3 linked regions of the Daphnia pulex genome follow. The protein of the gene in region 1 purifies or fractionates together with the protein of each later gene. This does not show direct contact. Links are inferred from orthologs where the notes say so. Each region holds a gene or a part of one and is shown in the gene's direction. Other genes may lie near its edges.

The links. The genes of interacting proteins can lie anywhere in the genome.
Region 2: the proteins of serine/threonine-protein kinase RIO1-like (region 1) and 116 kDa U5 small nuclear ribonucleoprotein component-like purify together in Homo sapiens (affinity purification with mass spectrometry; 3 studies listed by BioGRID). This does not show direct contact. The link is inferred for Daphnia pulex from reciprocal best matches to the Homo sapiens genes RIOK1 and EFTUD2.
Region 3: the proteins of serine/threonine-protein kinase RIO1-like (region 1) and methylosome subunit pICln-like purify together in Homo sapiens (affinity purification with mass spectrometry; 3 studies listed by BioGRID and IntAct, with this or other methods). This does not show direct contact. The link is inferred for Daphnia pulex from reciprocal best matches to the Homo sapiens genes RIOK1 and CLNS1A.

The regions. Positions count from the first base shown.
Region 1 is NC_060022.1:119,458-127,608, reverse strand, and holds serine/threonine-protein kinase RIO1-like, read left to right. Parts: upstream 1-2,976; 5' UTR 2,977-3,036; coding exon 3,037-3,107; intron 3,108-3,164; coding exon 3,165-3,304; intron 3,305-3,363; coding exon 3,364-3,772; intron 3,773-3,838; coding exon 3,839-4,025; intron 4,026-4,092; coding exon 4,093-4,211; intron 4,212-4,277; coding exon 4,278-4,473; intron 4,474-4,529; coding exon 4,530-4,652; intron 4,653-4,710; coding exon 4,711-4,959; intron 4,960-5,019; coding exon 5,020-5,124; 3' UTR 5,125-5,191; downstream 5,192-8,151. Other genes in the region: coiled-coil domain-containing protein 66-like, read right to left, coding at 453-561, 646-718, 817-907, 1,027-1,474, 1,631-1,745, 1,848-1,902; uncharacterized protein LOC124195509, read right to left, coding at 5,378-5,611, 5,677-5,892, 5,978-6,158, 6,232-6,401, 6,475-6,697, 6,773-7,014, 7,089-7,208. UniProt on the Homo sapiens protein: Involved in the final steps of cytoplasmic maturation of the 40S ribosomal subunit. Involved in processing of 18S-E pre-rRNA to the mature 18S rRNA. Required for the recycling of NOB1 and PNO1 from the late 40S precursor.
Region 2 is NC_060028.1:8,365,784-8,372,147, forward strand, and holds the start of 116 kDa U5 small nuclear ribonucleoprotein component-like, read left to right. Parts: upstream 1-3,197; 5' UTR 3,198-3,417; coding exon 3,418-3,738; intron 3,739-3,806; coding exon 3,807-4,131; intron 4,132-4,203; coding exon 4,204-4,328; intron 4,329-4,399; coding exon 4,400-4,647; intron 4,648-4,710; coding exon 4,711-4,873; intron 4,874-4,944; coding exon 4,945-5,080; intron 5,081-5,152; coding exon 5,153-5,830; intron 5,831-5,900; coding exon 5,901-6,069; intron 6,070-6,138; coding exon 6,139-6,360; intron 6,361-6,364. Other genes in the region: inhibin beta chain-like, read right to left, coding at 1-750. UniProt on the Homo sapiens protein: Required for pre-mRNA splicing as component of the spliceosome, including pre-catalytic, catalytic and post-catalytic spliceosomal complexes. Component of the U5 snRNP and the U4/U6-U5 tri-snRNP complex, a building block of the spliceosome.
Region 3 is NC_060018.1:1,923,334-1,928,570, forward strand, and holds methylosome subunit pICln-like, read left to right. Parts: upstream 1-3,189; 5' UTR 3,190-3,376; coding exon 3,377-3,495; intron 3,496-3,577; coding exon 3,578-3,723; intron 3,724-3,827; coding exon 3,828-3,989; intron 3,990-4,051; coding exon 4,052-4,117; intron 4,118-4,199; coding exon 4,200-4,273; 3' UTR 4,274-4,370; downstream 4,371-5,237. Other genes in the region: renin receptor-like, read right to left, coding at 1,752-1,831, 1,896-2,010, 2,082-2,162, 2,225-2,392, 2,454-2,762, 2,898-3,025, 3,084-3,129; sulfotransferase 1E1-like, read left to right, coding at 4,954-5,152. UniProt on the Homo sapiens protein: Involved in both the assembly of spliceosomal snRNPs and the methylation of Sm proteins.

The DNA.
Region 1 (8,151 bases):
CCTTATACTGCACTATACTATACGTCTATTTAAGTTGGTGACAGGACGTGCTGTCGCATATTCGGCATACGGCGCCAAAAGTCACGACGCCCGTTACCCTGGCAACTTGACTTCAACATTCGCTATTGAAATATTAGAACCATTATTATGTCTTCTTTTTTTCGTCTTCATTTCTTATTTTGTATTTTCCGGCTGTCTACTTTTGCCATCCAAATCTATATATTAGGCTACACAATTCCAGCCGCGTGATGGCAACGACAGCAGGCATATTTTTTTGGAATGTTTCTATTGTTTTATCTTTTTCTATTATTATATCGATCCAACCCAGTCGGGAATATTATAATTCACGTTAGTAAACGGTTTCTCGTCTGCATCGCATATGCTGTTGGCCTTTATGCGCCTTTTATGGAGAGCTAGAGACTGTTATATAGAAATCAATGTGTCATTTTTACCTGCTGAAGGAGCACCCGCTGCAGTTCATTGGCTTTGGCCCGTTTCCTTTCCCTCTCGGCCAACTCGGCGACATCCACCACGACATTCTGGCCACGCAGAAAGCTGGGACTGCATTACAACCAAAATATGGGCGATAAATCAATTGGGATCTCAACTTTTCCGCTTATTCTCTATGGACACAATCACACTCACGCCGCATTGGTTGCGCAGTGCTGGACGACAGCCTGATGACGGCTGATACTGGAACTGTCGCCCAAGGTCCGGTCTGCTGATGGATCGCCGGCAGACGACACGAAAGATGCTAATCAGTGGCCCATTGGCAAACAAAAGGAATGTGTGTAGACGTGATCTAATAGTACCCACCTGACATAAGAGGCTCGGTCTGAACAAAAGCGTTGGTCGGACGGGCCACCCATCGAGGTGGAGTCGACCTATCGTAAAGCTGTGGAAGACACTAGAGATGCCAACCAATAATCAATTCAATCATTTGATCTTGCCCCAATCAAACACATGAAGGCAGCCATGCTTTATTTAATCGATAATTTGTATACGTAATAAAAAAGAGCCCATTACCTCTGGGTAAAGGTCGTAGGGGACAGTTCCATCTTGGACCCACTTTTTGCGCTCGAGAAACTTATAATCGGCCCTGGCCGAAATTTCATTGGCCTCGTCGTGACGGTTGGAATTGATTTGCTCTTGATTAGTCGAGTGGTGATGGTGGATGATGACGTTGGAAGAATTTGAGGTGTCCGGCATGGGCTCGACGCTGGGTCCCCTGGACGACGACAATTGACGGCGGTGGCGCAGATGGTAATTAGGAGCCGATGGATCGATGAAGTGATTGTCACTCTGATAGCCGGAAGTTTCACCGTCCGTCACCGTGTGGCTGATGGCGTGACGCTTTGATCGCCGAGGCGGAGGCGGCGGCGGAGGCGGTGCGGTGGCGGGCGGCGCTTGCTGAACTTGTTCGTGTTGATGTGATCCAGTCGTCCAGTTGAGTGGAGGCAGGTAGTTGTCGTTTCTGATATATCCAGGAAACAATATCGCCATGTTATTTACGCAGCGCTAAAACAATAACGGAAACGAAAATGACGGCTAGATGACCGTCATCCGTCCACATATTTGATTTTTTCGACATAATTCGCGGATCATTGGGCTTGTGGTGCTGTGGGCTTACTTTTTATTGTCGACAGGAGTCAAGCGTGAATCGCTTCGGGCCGAGCTCCGGTTCCATTTCAACGGTGCGCCGCAACCCGGACGTCCCCATGGACACCAGTCGATTTTGGCCTCCTCTGTTATATAATAGACGCGATGATTTGATTGTATATACTCTCTTCGTTTGCCCAATTGACCAACTAATTTAAACCAAATTTAAAATGTGATGGATGACTTACCTCTTTCGCGGGCCCATTGTTGACGCTTGAGTTCCATCAGCGAAGGTTTTTCCATACCTGGTGGATGTCTGATGGAGAGTTGTCACACCAAGGGAGAGAAATGGCTGTGCAATAACTACAGCACGACGGACCGAACCGAACTGTCATGTATGCCGGAAATCCACGCCAGATGAGGGTTGAAAGAGTGGCAATCGATAAAACACGTACGACTCCCACGCCGTCACCAAGGTAACTCCCTACCTGTTCTCTCTCTTAGTTTTGATGGAAAGGCGACGCTCTCTTTGCGTAACTGAGCGACCAGCGACCTCAGCTGTTGTTGACGAATGCGTATTACCCAGCGCGATATTTCCACCATCAAACGCACAACACACACACGGATATTGGGTGCACAATTCAGATTCACACGCGCCATATTCTTTTAGTTGCGCTCTTACACTACACGTAGGGGGTCGTAAAATTGATTTTTCTTTTCTTTCTTTTATTCTATAGTGCAAGTGTATATGTAACACAATAGGTTTCCGGGGTCTATACGTTCGCCATTGTTTTTAAAAATAGGCAGGCAGGCAGCTAGGTAATCATTCAAGCGCAGCGGTGGTCAACCTTCAGTTTATTTATAGCTAGCCAACAATTCGTAAAGGGTACAACACGTCAACACTATTTCTTATTTATTTTAAATGTCGTGTCTACCGAATATTAACCAGCAGGCATGCTACATCGTTCATTTTCGCTTTGCTTTCACCTACTTTTAAATCATATCACTCAAGGAGTGCGTTTAGTCGGTCACGGAAAGAATATCAATCAAGTGTAGGCGCCTGTAGACTTTTTATTCAAAGAGTTACGTGGAAACGTAATCCTTCCTGTCTAATTCTACAAATGATATACAATCATACATCCATTGTACTAAAAGAATTACTAATTAATTTTCTCCTTTTTTTAAGGCGTCGAACAAATGAAAAAAGATTTGTTTTGTTTTTTTTTTAAATCCAGGTGTATTATATTAAAGAAAAAACAAATTTTAAATTACAGTTAACAACCTGATACAAATTAAGCAGCAAGCATTTGCAGATTTTCTCTTCTTTTTCTAATTTTGCCGTTGCGAAAAGAAGTATATATGCAATTGTTGGCAATGTTGCACACGATGTGGCAGACGAATTTTTATGACACATGAGAAAACAAATTTTATTTAACCATGGCAGTCCACGTGGATTTTTCTGATTCTTCTCCTGTTGAAGGACAATTTAGCGACGTTGAAGATGAAAAGTAATGCAATTTTTCATATTATCAAGTTATTTTAATGTAATTTAGTGCTTTTATCAGAGACTCGAACGTTGCTGAAGGTATTCGACAACTTAATCTTGAGACCAATGACGAAGTGCCGCCCGTCGATGAAAATAACGAAGTCTATTATTCAGACGATTCTGAAATGAGCGATGACGATTGTTACGATTGGCAATATGGTAACAACATAATGTTCAAAGCTTACTTTCAATTCGTTAACTGACAACATTTACTGCAGATCAGGGGCCTCAAATAAAAGTACAGGGAGCCCAACCCAACCAACAGACTAGTTCCAATAAAGTGGTTTCTTTCCAGCCAAGAGAAAAGCTATTCAAGAAATATTCCCAAAAGATTAATGTGGACGAGTTCAAAATGCCTTCGTTGCCAGGTGATGACAAGGTGCGTCTCAGAGACAAGGCAGACAGAGCTACTGCTGAGCAAGTTATGGATCCCCGGACAAGAATGATTCTGTTTAAATTAATGAACAGAGGATTTATCACTCAAATCAATGGTTGTATCTCCACTGGAAAAGAAGCCAATGTATATCATGCAACAGGAAAAGATGACACACATTTGGCCCTCAAAATTTATAAAACATCCATTCTTGTATTCAAAGACAGAGACAAATACGTCACAGGCGAGTTCAGGTAACCTTGACACCTTACAATCTTATTTTGTTTATGTTTGTGGCTCACTAGTTTTTTTTATTGCAGATTTCGACATGGTTATTGTAAGCACAATCCCCGTAAAATGGTTCGAACTTGGGCTGAAAAAGAATTGAGAAATTTATTGAGACTTGAAGCAGCTGGTTTACCATGTCCCAAACCAATTTTGCTGAGAAGTCATGTGTTGTTGATGACTTTCATTGGTGATGCTGGTTGGCCTGCCCCCCGACTAAAGGTATACTGAAAATATCCGATAGATTACACGGGTGTCGAGATTTAATTTGATGCTTTTATACTACAAGGAAGTTGAGCTGAGTGAATCGAAAGCCCGTGAGTTATATCGAGACACAATCATTTTGATGCGGCGAATGTTTCACGACTGCAGACTCGTTCACGCTGATCTCAGCGAATTCAACATGCTGTAAATTTTAAACTTGTGTGATTATTATAGACCCACGCTATTTATTATCTTAATTACCAATCCTAGGTATCATGAAGGATCATTGATCGTAATCGATGTGTCTCAATCAGTAGAACATGACCATCCGCATGCTCTTGAATTTCTTCGTAAGGATTGCACTAATATTACCGACTTCTTCAAAAGAAACGGAGTTTGCGTCATGACAGTTAAAGAACTTTTTGATTTTGTTGTTGATTTGACTATCAATGAAACCAATATTGAGGTATTTACAATTTGGAAAACACACTTGTATTTTTAGTGACACATTTTGAATTCCAGGACTACTTGGATAGAATGGCAACAGTTTCTTCCGAAAGAAATATTCAAGGAGAGTCTACAGCGGAAGATTTGGTGAAAGCAGAAGTCTTTAAACAGACATATATTCCTCAAAGATTAGATGAAGTGAGTGCGCGCCCTGGTTCATTTTCTTTCTTTTTCACTAACCTCAATATTCCGTCAGGTCATGTTCTTTGAACGAGACATTAGACAAATTAAAGCGGGAGAGAAAATTGAATTGAACTACGCGAATGTAACTGGAATTAAACCAGACTTGTCAGGCCCAAAGCAAGTTCCAGACATTTTGGATAATTCTATTGTGGACGGAACTAGCAGCGATGAGGCATCTGGTGAGTCTGATTCAGAAGATGGTGAAAAGAAACAATTTGTGAGCAGTGCACGACCTCGCGACGAATCCCCCAACAGTCGAAAGGTAAATTTTGCTGCTAGGTTTTTTAACGTCTAACTTTACCTTGAAATTCGTTTGGAATAGGAGAGGAAAAAGGCCATCAAGGCTGAGCAATCAGAAAAACGGAAGCAGAAAGTAAAGAAACACGTCAAGAAAAGAAAGGAAAAACTCGCCAACACCAAAAAGTAATTACCTTTTTTGATAAGTGTTTGCTGATGTATTTTTTCGACTCAAATAATATGGGAAATTTACCAAACCAGAAGGTTTTATTTTTTAATTCCTTATAAAATCACGAATCTTAAATGTGTATTGAATTCCCCGACCGAGATTAAACATATGATAGAAACTCTGAGATTACCTGAGAAAGAGTTATAGATCACAACAGATATGAGAGATAAACGTTGACTTTGGCATTCAACCCGTACATGATTCCATAATAACATTACGATACGTTAGCACTGATAAGAAAAATTAAAGCAGCAATAGCAACAACTGCTCCGAGTGATGCAGCACTAATTGGAACGAAGCACAATTTAGCCGTTCCTTTGTGACATGCAATGAATGTCATGAACGAATCCAATTTTTGAGCCGGAACATCTTGAAAGCCGAACGGACGAACACGTATCCTCATTCCTACAGAGCGCACGTTTCGACTTGCAGCAGTAACATACGCAGCCTGTGGTAAGGAAACAAATTCGAATTACTTTTCCTGTTGTTCTTTTGGATGTTAAGAGATCTTACAGAAACCAGTGGAGCTATGGAAACAGTAGCCCACTGAACCAACAACATTATCACAATAAAAGAGTGCGCATCGATTGTATAGTACAGAAATCCAGGATGAATGACGGTCATTGTCGTCACAATTGTACGGGTCGTGGAGAGTAGCAGGAGTAAACCGATGGCTGGAGAAACATTTTCGTTCAAGTACAGCAGGAACTTTTCAAATTCCAACATTTCCTGTTGAATCGATAAAATTCAATTCTATTGTTTGTTATCTATTAGCGCAATTTTCTACATGGGAAACTAATGAGCTGTTTCTTACTTTCATGGCGATTTCCAACGACATGGATTTCTCAACTACGCGTTCGCTAATAGAACTAACGTACGACATCAATAATTGGCATTCTATGCAATAGTTGCTAACAACTAAGCAGTGAACAACGTCTTGGCATAAAGTGGAGGCAATCATTACCCCCATCAATGAATTGCGGACGGGGTTACTCCTGTAATAATAGAAAGTAAACAAAAAAAAAGTTTAAATATTGACCGACTAATCGACAATAGAAAATAACTTGCATTTGAGGAAGGAACCAAACTGTCTTTATTGGACTGGTGCAGACAAGAAAAATTTGAGCGATGAGTGACCAAAGTAACCAAACCACTGAGAGTATAACATGTGTACGAAGTCTTCGAAGAAGAACTCGTTGTGTCGTTGCTCCTCTTGATCTCGAAGTCAGTAAAAAGACCTGCAAACTCACAGGAAACCTAAAGTTAAAATAAGAAATGCAGTACTCAAATTACCAAGTCCACCTCACTAACCTTCTCAAAGAGTGTTTGTAGATGTTCATTATCTGTTATTCGCAATAAATAAATTGTTTGGATAAATGCGCCGAGATGTAACAATGGAGGTAAAATGTAGCAAAGGAAAAGACTTCCATCACACACAACTTCAGGTGTGTCAAGTGACTTGGTCAAATGTCTGACATTTTGACTAACATGATCAACACCAGGAATTTTAATGTATGAAAAACCTTTGTCCCTTCTAAACAAAAATTAATATTTAATTTCAGATTAACCTTGGGAATAGAAAGAATAAATAGTAGTAGCAATATGACACCTGTAGCATGTTAAGAGTTGCATTACATAACCAAAGATGAGGAAGCATGTCACCAAGAATAGATGGATTTTGTTAATTGCACTCAGAGCAAGCGTTTGGTCATTGAAGTCTCCTAACAGAGGTCTTAGACCAAGTAGTCCCAAAAGCCTAGTGTATGGTAGAATCATCTTGCGCTGGCAGTAGTTCAAAACTGCAGATGTACTAAAAGGTTGTGGTGGGTTGTATTCCAATAAATCACGAATCTCATGAAAACATGAAGAGAAGTTCAAATTTCCAGAAATTGGTGGTAGAAAATATTACTGTAAAAGAATACTACCTCCGATACCTCAACAATTTCACAATTTTCTGGGCTGTTACTGACAGTGGCAGTTCTACCTAAACAAACTGGTGCTCGATTGCAAAATGATGTATCGACGTTTGAAGCCATTTCGATCATTCACTACATTAAAAAATATATGACTTTCCCGTTAAGGATTGATAACAATCGAATGTTTCATGGAAAGATAACAACACAGTATATTAAACCAAGTAAGAACTAAGAAGTCACACAACGGGCAACGGCAACCTTTCTCGAAGTTCAGAGTCTGTAAATCAAAACAAACAACGTTGCCGGTTGCCCCATTGAAGTTTTATTATGGTAATTTTTTTTTAATTTTTTTTTACTTCTTAAATTTTAAATTTGTGCAAATCAATCAATCTAACATACTTTAAAATAACAACTAACAAACTATAAATTTAGTAATAGCCAGTAGTACTGCAATAAATGGTGCAATAAAACCAACACGCACGACGCACGTCAACAGCATTGAATTGAATTTCATATTATCATATTAAGCGACTAACCATTATCCCATGAGTTCCATGTGCCACATTTCACAGAAAATTTCAAGGTTATACTGTAATAGTAAAGAGGCAAATGAACGAGTCCGTTAAACCGTTATGTCCGTTAACGGTTTATAGTAAAACTTGTACTCAAATTAACCACCTAGATCGGATGACTCTGCCTAGATGGCGAAATCGTCGAGCTGTGGGCCATCTGGCGACAGTCGTCCAATGTTGTTGTCTGATTAGGACCTTCGTTGCCGAAAAGAAAAATGAAAAAAATATGGCGACCGAACACGTTGCGACTTGCGAGTGTCGGTGGTGTCGGTTAAGAGCGTTAAGAGGCGTACACATCAAGAATTCGTGCTAGTGAAACAGCAATGCAAAGCACCGCGTGTGAATTGTCCTTAGAGAGAAGAAAAAAATTTCACACAGTTAGTAAGGTAAGAATTGTAGAATTCCAGAGAAGAGTTAAGTAAAAGTTGAAGTGTGAAAATTAAAGTCTTTCAATAAGGTCGAGTATGTATATACATAGGTGGATTTTGCAGTAAAGTAAT
Region 2 (6,364 bases), on another chromosome or scaffold:
CTCCGATGTCTTGCCGTAGAAATCGTCGTCCACGATGACGTTGTCCACGCTCCCGTCGGCCTGCGAGTGATGCGGATGATGCGGCTGGGCCTGTTTACCCTGAGGCGACTGGGACTGGGACTGATGGGGACGGGACGAGGAAGAAGACTCTTCCGCCCTCAGCAACGTTTCCAGGATGAAATCCCTGGGCGGAATAACGGACGAGAGCAAATTCGGTTTGGCGTTGAGTCCCAGTTTGATGAGGATTTGACGTTTGATGGACTCGAGACGGGCCGATTCGCCGATCGTCGTTTGATGTTGTTGCTGAGCCACAACCACGTCCAGCGACGACTTTTGTCCGTCCTCCTCCTCTCCTTCCTCTTCTTCGCCTTCCGTCTGCCGATGGACGTGGATGGGCGTCAACGGCAGACGACACGACGGGCAATGCCGGCGACTCCTCCGGTGCGGACGGGTGGCGGCCACGTCGCCGATGGACGCCGACGACGAGTTGCTGGCGACAAAGTGTTGCGGCTGCTGGACCTGTAGATGTTGGACCTGGAGATGGACGTTGGCGGGGTCACTGAAACGCACCTCGGACACGGCAATCAACTGGGAACTGCACAGGATCATGAGAAGAGCGGCCAGGATGATCAAACTGTTGCTGCTGGCCCTTGTCCTCCTGCTGCTGCTGCTGCTGTAGGCTGACGACAACGACGGCCAGCCACAGCAGCAGCCACTGAACCACTGCACTACCACAAACATGATGGTCATTTCCGAAAGCAGCCGGCAGCAGCTGCAGGGATGTGAAATGTGACGAGCCGGCCGGCCGGCTTCTTCTCTGAACTGTGGCCGTCGTCTGCTTCTGCTGCTCTATCTTCTTCCGAGACGACGGGCAAAAGCGGTCGACGATGTTGCTGATGGATCGATGAGAAGCGAAGAACCGACATCCGAACCGACCACTCCAAATCCTATAAAAGAAAACGTCTTTTCAAACACTGTCGGCCGATCGTCAACACTTGTCACGATCTTCACTTATTGCACTCCATTTTCCGCTTCTGCTGCTGCTGACGATGTGCTGCTGTGCTGGTGTGCGGACGGACGGATGGACGGCGGGTAGTCGACTGCTGCTGCTGCTGTCGGCTAATAACTCGGCAAGTCGAGTCGAGACAGTCGACTGTCTCTCTGGCGAAGGCCACCACCACCACTGCTGCTGCTGCTGCGTGTAGCTCCTGGCTCCTGGCTGGTAGACTCTCTCTCTCCCTCCTCTCTCCTCCTTCTTCTTCCTCCTTCTTTTCGGTTTCCTTTCCAGCAGCAGCATAGACTCGTGCGCAGGCAACCCCGTTACAAACAACTACAACAACAACACACGAATTCTTTAAGAAAAATAGAAGAGACGGAGAGGGGGGGGGAAAGAGAGAGAGAGACTACATGCATGTTTATATCTCTGTCTGTGTATCTACTACACACACCAGCTAGACTATTCTGCGGCGATATATTGTGGCCGTCGCCTATAAGGAAAATAGAAAAGCCAAAAGGAAAATATACATGGTGATACTACTATACAAGAGAGAAGGAAGGAAAGAAGAAAAAAACAACCTCGCCCAGCCCAGGAGCCCAGCCCAGTCAGCTAGTTTCTTTTTCTCTTTTTATTCTTTCTTCTTTTGATTCCGAAATAATCTCAATCTTGGATCTTTTCGACTATCCTTATTCTTCGACGTTTTTTTTTTATTGTGTCTTGACGCTGTTGTTGTTGTTGTTTGTTCCATCACCAATCGGCCAATGTCTAAACGTTTTCTTTTTGTCTTTTTTTCGCGTCTAGCCAAAATGAATCCCGACCGATGTCTGAGTTGCCGAATTTTATAATTGGGGTGGAGATTGTTGGCTCGACCAATGTCGAGGTCTAATAACATTCCGTCATCACCACGAGACTTGATTAACAATCAATCATTTCGTAAGTCTAATGTGTCCAGGAGTCCAGTGAACTACAATCGCTTCATCCATGTCGAAGGGTATTGTGTAGTAATGAATGCCGTCCAATAATCATTGCGATCCATTAAGCCTTGACTCCCGACAGACTACACCGCCGTGGCAATGCACACCGGACAGTATAGTGACCCCCCCGCAGACACAAAAAAGATGATGGATAGAAATTTAAAAAGAGAAAAACAAAACAAACCAAAAAAAAAAAAAATCTCAGTCAGAGTCTGTCGGGCTATTGATTGGACACCCCCACGGAAAATTCACGCACGAGGAATAAGGAGGAGGAAGTCGATTGCTGCTGTTGGCCAAGTCTAAATGTGTGCAGCGACATTCAACCGGGTACATTCTATCCGCCTACACAATGGATGACATTGCTGCAAACAACAAAAACAGAACAAGCAACTCGAAGCATCGCCGATAACGGTGATTATATCCCGAATAAAAAAAAAAAAAAGAACCATCAACCGAGAACCCATGGACAGAAGGAGAACTCTAGTTGGGCTGGGCTGGGCTGGTCTACATCACCGAATGGCCGGCATTGATTTTGTCGATCTGCCCATATCATCCCAAGTATTTTTTGGGTTTTTTTTTTGTGATTTCCTTTTGGCAACAACAAACCAACAAGCGAATATATAAATCGGGGTCGCTCGTCTGTAGACTCGTCTGCAGATAAAGACGTCTAATATATCTTTCCATACGAGTCGGCAGCAATAAATCATATAAGGGCACTTGCCCATCCAGGGGGCTTCCATCGCCCGGCAAAACTGAAATTCTGCACTGTGTGCGTAGACATCAGACGACTGCTGAGATTTATTCCGTTATTCAATTCAAAAACATGACGGCATTTTACTCCTTATTTCGCCCGCTTTGATTGATATTATCGCCCGTGTTCGACTGACTTTGTTTCTCCTACAAAATGTTTTTTTCCGTCGTGGACCCGACCTGATAGCGACTGACACGTCATCTATATAAATTCACAACTAGATTTCAGTTTCCAGTGCACAAGCAAAAAAACAGCGCCAGAAACATTTCCTTATTCGGGTAGGGAAAACCCCGCCCTCAACGGGATTCCCATTTGCATTTTATTACGCTGTGAATTTTTTTTTTCTCTTTTATTTTATTTTTATTTATTTATTTTTATTTTTATTTATTTTATTCATTTTATTTTATTTTCATTTTTTTTGCCACTCATAATCCACCTGCTAGCTGGTAGATGGCGCTGTTCTTAAATTCAGATTTCATTGGCACCCGCTAGATGTCGCTAGTGTCGCTCGTTTTGAGCGCGTGCAAATCTGTACGCATAGTAAACGCATTTTCTTGAAAGGCCCGGCTTTTCTGAAATTCCCTTTTGAAACAGCTTTATAACTGTGAGTGTTGGGTTAAGCCGAATACCGATCGACAACATCCAAAGTATCTGCCCAATTTACAGACAGCAAACGACTCAGTTGACTGTCAAGAATGGACGCCGATCTCTACGACGAATTCGGCAATTACATTGGACCCGAACTCGAGTCAGATGAAGACGAAAATGAGGAAGGAGACGAGGCTGATCACGATGACGAAGCCGAAGACTATGGTGACAATGATTCCGAAGAGGCCATGGATCAAACGGTGGTTGATGGCGACGCACAGATGGCCATTGTTTTGCATGAAGACAAAAAATACTATCCATCAGCGTTGGAGGTTTACGGACCTGGTGTGGAGACACTGGTGCAGGAAGAAGATGCTCAGCCCTTGACTGAACCCATCATCGCACCTGTCAAACGAAGGAAGTTTCAGGTACCACAAATTGTTTCGCTGCCATATTTCATTTTGTTGATTAACCTGTTTCCACCCATTTTCATTAGGTTGCTGAGCAAGAACTCCCTGAAACCACGTATAACATGGAGTTTTTGGCTGATCTCATGGACTCTGCAGAACTTATTCGTTCAGTGGCCCTTGTTGGTCATTTGCACCATGGCAAGACTTCCTTCATGGATTGTCTGCTCATGCAAACACACCCAGATCTCCAGACGGGAAAACCTGGCAGTGGAGAGGAGAAGCCTGTCAGATACACAGACACACTCTTTACTGAACAAGAGAGAGGTGTTTCCATCAAAGCGACGCCCATTACCGTGGTCATGCCCGACCTGAACGAAAAATCCTTCCTCCTCAACATGTTCGACACACCTGGTAAATTACAGTTTTCCAACTTGCAAAATGGGGGGGAAAAATGTATTTAATCGATTTTGATGTTTCTTAAAGGTCACGTCAACTTCTCAGATGAAGTCACGGCTGCCCTGAGACTTTGCGATGGTATCGTCCTCTTTGTCGACGCTGTCGAGGGTGTCATGCTCAACACGGAACGAATCTTGAAGCACGCCGTCCAGGTAATTAAAAAAAAAAAAAAACTTCAACTTGGTTATTCCAAGAATTTCTTTTTAACCCTGTCCTTTCATAGGAGAAAATGGCCATCACAGTTTGCATCAACAAAATCGATCGACTCATTTTGGAGCTCAAGCTGCCACCTCAGGACGCATATTACAAGTTGCGCTACATCATTGAAGAGATCAACGGTCTTTTGGGCCTGTACAGCGACGAAGAGAATCCAAAATTCGTGTCGCCCTTGTTGGGCAACGTCTGCTTTGCTTCTGCCCAGTTCTCCGTTTGCTTCACCCTTAAATCCTTCGCCAAACTTTACAGTGACACGTACGCACACGTCCACAATGGCAATGACGGTCTTAAATGAAACTTCATTTTCTTTCATTTTAGATACGGATCCGATATCAACGACAACGAGTTAGCACGTCGTCTGTGGGGTGACATTTACTTCAACAGCAAGACGAGAAAGTTCACCAAAAAGCCGCCACATAGCTCGGCTCAGCGAAGTTTCATCGAGTTCATTTTAGAGCCGTTGTACAAAATCTTTGCCCAGGCATGTACCAAGGACAACTTTGCAGTTAATTTGAACAGTTGATTCATTTCCAATATTTTTTGCTTGTTTAGGTTGTGGGAGATTTGGATTCGAGTCTACCGCAGTTGCTGGACGAACTTGGCATTCGCCTGACTGTCGAGGAACAGCGGTTAAACACTCGCCCCTTGTTGAGACTGGTCTGCAGTCGCTACCTGGGCACTTTCAGCGGTATGTCAATTAAAATGTATGTTGAATTGAAGCAACGGTCTTTAAATGTCAATGTTTGACTGGTGTGTGTAGGTTTCGTGGAAATGTGCGTCAAACACGTCCCGTCGCCCGTAACGGCTGCTCGCACCAAAGTGGAACACATTTACACAGGTCCCCTGGAGTCCATCCTGGGCGAAGACATGGTCAACTGTGATCCCAACGGCCAACTGGTTGTCCATACTACCAAACAGTATCCCACAGAGGACTGCACTGGATTCTATGTCCTGGGTCGTGTCCTGAGTGGGACCCTTCACGCTCACCAGAACGTCCGACTCCTGGGTGAAAACTATTCGCTCAATGACGAAGAAGATTCACGTGTGTTGACGATCGGTCGACTTTGGATATACGAGGCCCGTTACAAGATCGAAGTCAATAGAGTAACGGCAGGCAGTTGGGTCTTGATCGAAGGGATCGATGCCTCAGTGGTCAAGACGTCGACCATCGTCCAGGTTCACGTCGACGAGGACTTGTACATTTGCCGACCCTTGAAATTCAACACGCAATCCATCATCAAAATTGCCGTTGAGCCGGTGAATCCCAGCGAATTGCCCAAGATGTTGGACGGTCTGCGTAAGGTTAACAAATCTTACCCGTTGCTCTCGACGCGAGTGGAGGAGTCGGGCGAGCACGTTATTCTTGGAACAGGCGAACTTTACCTGGACTGTGTCATGCACGATCTCAGGAAAATGTACTCGGAAATCGACATTAAAGGTTTGCCATTCATTTCTTCCCAACTGTTAATTCTTCTAATTTAACTAATTCACTTTGGTTTTTCTTGTAGTTGCTGATCCTGTGGTGTCTTTTTGCGAAACGGTCGTGGAAACGTCCTCACTGAAATGTTTTGCCGAAACTCCAAACAAAAAGAATAAAATCACAATGATTGCGGAACCCCTGGAGAAAGGTTTGGCCGAAGATATTGAAAATGGGGTCGTCCAAATCAATTGGAACAAGTAAAAAAGACTTGGAATTCTTTTTCAGAGAGTAGTTGAATAATTATTTCCTAATTTTCCAAAACGCAGGAAAAAATTGAGCGAGTTTTTCCAGAGCAAATACGATTGGGATTTGTTGGCTGCCCGATCCATTTGGGCATTTGGCCCCGATTCCACGGGACCCAACATCCTCGTTGACGACACACTGCCGTCTGAAGTCAATAAGAGTTTGCTCAACACGGTCAAAGATTCCATCGTTCAAGGATTCCAGTGGGGCACACGAGAAGGTCCCTTGTGCGAAGAACCCATCAGGTAC
Region 3 (5,237 bases), on another chromosome or scaffold:
GCTCGAGCTTTATTCAAAGCTTGACAAATTGATATTACATCATTTCGGGAAATTATTGGTAAATTGTTTGTTTTTTGAGTTCATACCTCAAAGCGGGGATGAGTAAGAACACTTCGTCGCGCGCTCAGTTTCCTTTTTATCTTTTTTTCTACTTAGAATTTTCAAGGTTCTTTCCTAAACATTTATTTTATTTTTAAGAAATTTGTTTAAAGCTTTGTTCAAAGAATAATTACTTAAGCCTCCAGAAAAGCTCTAGTTTGGCCTATAGGTTTGATGGCGATCCGTTAAGGTTTTCCCCCGGTAATAGCAAATTGTTCCGAATTAAATTTTCCTAATTCAGGATAATCCACACACGCAGGTGCTACAAAAAACCACCTATAGCCTTCCCGTTTTACCTCCGTTTTAAGTCTCTCACACTGTGATTGTAGCAATTTGCGCCACAAGTGACTTTTCTATAGAAGTCCCAGAGGGTTGATGTCATAAACTTCCCGAGAATATGTTTTTCTCGGCGTCGTTCTGGTTCCAAAGAACCGCAAAATATTGTTTCGCGGGCCGATGACAGTCATGACACTCTGGCTTTCCCATGCTCTTTCCCTCATTACTTTTCTTATTTATGAAAATAACCTTCGCCCAAAGTATTAGTTTCACGATGAAAGCCCAAATTTGTCGTCCGATTCTTTTTCAGCTTCACCTCACTTTGCGTTAGTTAACCCATAAAAAGTTGAATCGGTCGACATAATCGCGTTCTTCTTCGTTAAATTCGTGCAAATTTATATAATTCTCCAAACAGGAAAAAAGGCCACTGACTTTTAGAGCGTAGTGAGACTTTTAGCCCAGAAAAAACACTGGTTCGTGATTTACAGCGCAGAAAATAGGAATTATAAACCTTGGCAAATGTTCAAGTGAAAAAAAAAAACTGGATGTTAAATAGAAAGTATCTTCTTTGTCTACGCGGGCCCTTAGACATGGAAAAGTCATGAAAACTATCAAGTCAACTCGCAACTTGAGCGTAATAATGGTTAATTAAAAAAGAGCCAGTCTTCCGTGATTAAATATTCCGAATATTAAAACAACATTTTCCATTCTTACCAACTAGAGATTCCATGGGGGGGGGGGGGATAGCGTTTCGTTTCTCTGTATTTCTGTGACCGATAACAGTGATTAATGATACCCGAGGCCGATTGTTCATGTTTTTGTTATTTACCCAAGGTACTTGAGTTATTATCAATGTGGAGAAAGACCAGTCGTTTCTATCGATTGTCCATGGTAGATGCTCATGATAAAAGTCTGATACTACTGCGCAAAAGTAGGACATAGCCCAAGGGATTGCAGAAAGCATCCGACGAATACAAAACACGTTGTTTTTTTTAATAACACGCTACAGACCAAAATAAGCTCTCGATGGAAACTCGTTTAGAGATAGTAAGAATCCTTTCTCCAAAACGCCGTGGTGAAAGTGAGAGGAGAGCGATTCGGATGTCGCGTGCCCATAACACAATCAGTTACACAGCAGAGGAGAATGTTAATATTTCCTTACTTGGACGATGACTCGGATCATCGAAAAAGCACTCAACTCGACGGGAAAACAAAACTTCGTTTAAATGTGTAATCACACACAGAACGAACAGTTATGGCTACGACATGAACAAAGAAAAGCTAGAAAATGTACACCAAACAAAGTAACATTTTTTTACACGCTAAATTATTATCAGTGAGGCTCAAGCCAACAAATAAATCGGAATGTGACTTCTCTAATTTTCCTTTTTGATGCGCTGTGTCGTCATCCGATAGATGATGGAGTCACGACCAGGATCGAGTGTGCAAATAAACACTGAAAAATTAAAGGGATAATGTTATGGCAGATTGCAAAAATCGAACTCAGATTAATCAATTACCAGCGGTGGAAATAAGAGCAGCAATCAAGAAAACGGATGTCCATAAAAGGATATTAAAAATGGATGAGTAATCCGATCCATAGCGTTTAGATAAATTCAACTTCCAATACAGTTCCTGAAAGAAGGAGGATAAAGTTATTTTAACCCTCGACTATTATTTGAAAATAAAATTTTAAAAAATCATACGCTATTTGCTTTGGCATTCGAAGTCGTAGACCTCTTTTCTCGAAGGCGAAGTCTTTCAATGGTTATGGCAGTTAGGATAAACTATAAAAAGACAAAAATTGTTACACACAAATTTTTCGAATTCAAATATAACTGTGTCATACTCGATCGCCATAAGTGTTTTCTAGTGCATCTTGAAGCTCGCCGAGAGCAGATTTCAAAATAGTAACTGCTTCCAAAGCTTGCTCAGAGTCTTGACCATAGACACTGATGATATCATCCAAACCATTAAGGCGGATCCAAACAGTCTTGAAGACGGATTTTGCCAATACCTTTTGAAAATAATGTATTGTGTGTAAAAACCTCTCACTATTTTTTAACTAATGAAAATACCTTATGTTTTAAATCCATCAAAACATCAATATCTTTAAGAAACTGCAAGACAGCAACATCCTTTTTGTTGAGCTTTTGAAGTGCCAAAATCTTCTGGGTTTCACCAGAATATAAGTCATTTTCGTCAAATACAACTTGGCCTAGAATAGAAGTGAAATCATCCTTCACTTGATCAAGAGTAGAGGTGATCTCTAGTGGGTATCTGGGTTCACTCAACTGGAGACTTTGCACACCCTCAACAACAACAGCAACTGAAACTTCTGGGTAATTAAATGGATTCAAGACTGTAAGTCCATTCCACGAGTCACCCTGAAAACAGCAAATAATGGTATTGCTTCAAACTGATTTCATCATAGATACATCAAGTTGCAATATCACTCCTTCGTTTGGAACCAAACATATAGTTCCTAATCTACAAAGTTATAAATGAATGAAAGAACTTACAAAAGGTGTTGTGTGCCCCATTGCAGTGGAAATAATTTTTGGCAATTCACTTGTATTCAGCTGTTCATCTCCCCTAAAGTTGACTCCATTAGGGCTGTGCAAGATGCTGAACTCTCCATTTCCCAGGACTGCATTGCAACAAAACACTTCAAAAGCTGTAGTTTTCAATCGCTAGAAAATAATTACCTGAGGTTAATAGACAAAATACGCCGACAATTGATGCCACTTTCATCTTGCCTTCTTGTCTGGTCAACAGCAGCTGCAATTGCCTTTAGAAAAAGTTTGACAGTCTCGAGTCTCGTGACAGCTAAAGTCAGGTGATGTGTTCGTGGTTCATGATTTAGTCCCTAGATGACGTTTTCATTGCAGCCTACAATTTTTTTTTAAAACGTTGTGCTGCTGACAGCGTGATTCGAATCATATTTCATTTTCAAATTGTTGCTCTTCTTCTTTTCTGAATTCGTTAAATTTCTTAAAAAATGGTTGTATTATCTTCATTTCCTCCGCCTACCGAAGGAATCAAATTAGTTCAGCCTAATACTGGAGCTTTCATCAACACCAGAGACTTGGGCCAAGGAACATTATATATTGCAGAAAGGTTAATTTATATTTATATTCTATTTAAGTTTTCGATTACAAGAGTCACGGAAAAATAATTTTACCTATTCCAAACCATTTAGTCGTGTATCATGGGTTAGTGCCACATCTGGCCAGGGATTTTCGCTGGAATACCCCCACATATCGTTACATGCTGTTTCAAAAGATCCTTCTGCATTTCCACAGGAATGCTTGTACTTGATGTTGGATTCAAGGCTTGATGAACCCGGTAATACCCAATTCTATATTTATGTTTAAAATATCATTTGAGAAAATGTTATGTGAGATGTGTTCATGTTTCCAGGTTTGTCTGATTAAAGTTATATTTTTAAGATGAAGCTTTAGATAATCAAGATTCTGAGGATGAGGAATCTGAAACTGATATGTCTGAAGTAAGGTTTATTCCAGAAGATCGGGGACTTCTTGATGCCATGTACCATGCCATGACAATATGTCAAACACTCCATCCTGATCCTAATGATTCAATTTCAGATGGTAATATTTGACAAAAGGCAAAAGTTTTGCAGATTATTGTATTAACTTTTTTTTTTATTTAGAAGGAGATTTTGAAGATACTGAGGAAGGAGAATATTGCCTTGATGGAGCAGAAACAGCTGAAAATGGTAAATCTGATATAATTTCATTTAATTGATATCCGACAAATATTTATTGTTTTTCTCAATGTGCACCTCAATTGTTCGTAAGATCATGATAATGGTGAGGCGGAGAACATGGAGTCAGACATGGGTCAGTTTGAAGATGCCGATCCTGAACATTAACCGCACATATTTCCCTTATTCACGCTTTACTTACTATTGCTTTCTTTGAAATTTTAAATAATAAAACTTCAAAGCATAGGAGATAATTAATGTAAAACAATTTTTGGTGTCACCTCACTGTTCGATTGCCATGAACGCGAGTATTCTCGGTTAGTTAAAAAAAAAGAATGCGCCCGCTCCAATATTATGTGTAGATTTTAAGCGGGAAGCAAAAAAAAACTGTATGTGTGACAAAAAAAACAAGTTTAATAATCTTTAACTTAAAAATATCGCTGCCACAGTAAAGAAAGCATTGGTTTTCTTTAAAAAAAGAACTTCTTAAGGTAACTTGAAATGAAAAAAATGTGACGTGTTTCGACAAAGCGTGCAGAATGTTTAGCATTTTTTCTGAGGTAAAGCTTCGGTTGACGTTAACATTATGTGAACCTTCCACTAGAAAAGACAAGATCGATAACAGTAGTGCTACTCAAGAACGCCTTTTGTGGTCATGGTGGCGCTGTAGCTTGGGTTGTATCAAAGTTCAACGTTCTCAAGCCTCTCGGAAAGTCTCAATATTGATTCAGTCTCGAGTTTAGCGTCTCACGCATAGCACGACAGACTTTCTCCGCTACATCTCCCTCGGTGGTAATTATTCTCGGTACTCTGCGCCAGCGCCCCATTCCCTGACTTATCCCGCGAAAATGGCATTGCATTTTGAGTTTCCCGATGCCGAAACAAAAGCGAAACTTCTTGCAGCGTTTCCTGGTTACAGCGATGGTTTTGTGAGATGTCAACCGGGAAATTTGTTGATGCCATTGTTTTACAAAAAAGATTGGAAAACGTATTACGATTTTCAGCTGCGGGATGATGATGTCTTCATTCTTTCTTTTCCAAAATCAGGTAAGAAAAACATTTTCAATTCAAAATAAATAACAATGCTGTACAGCGTAAACCAAGTCACCACAGAAGAGCGCAAACGACTTTC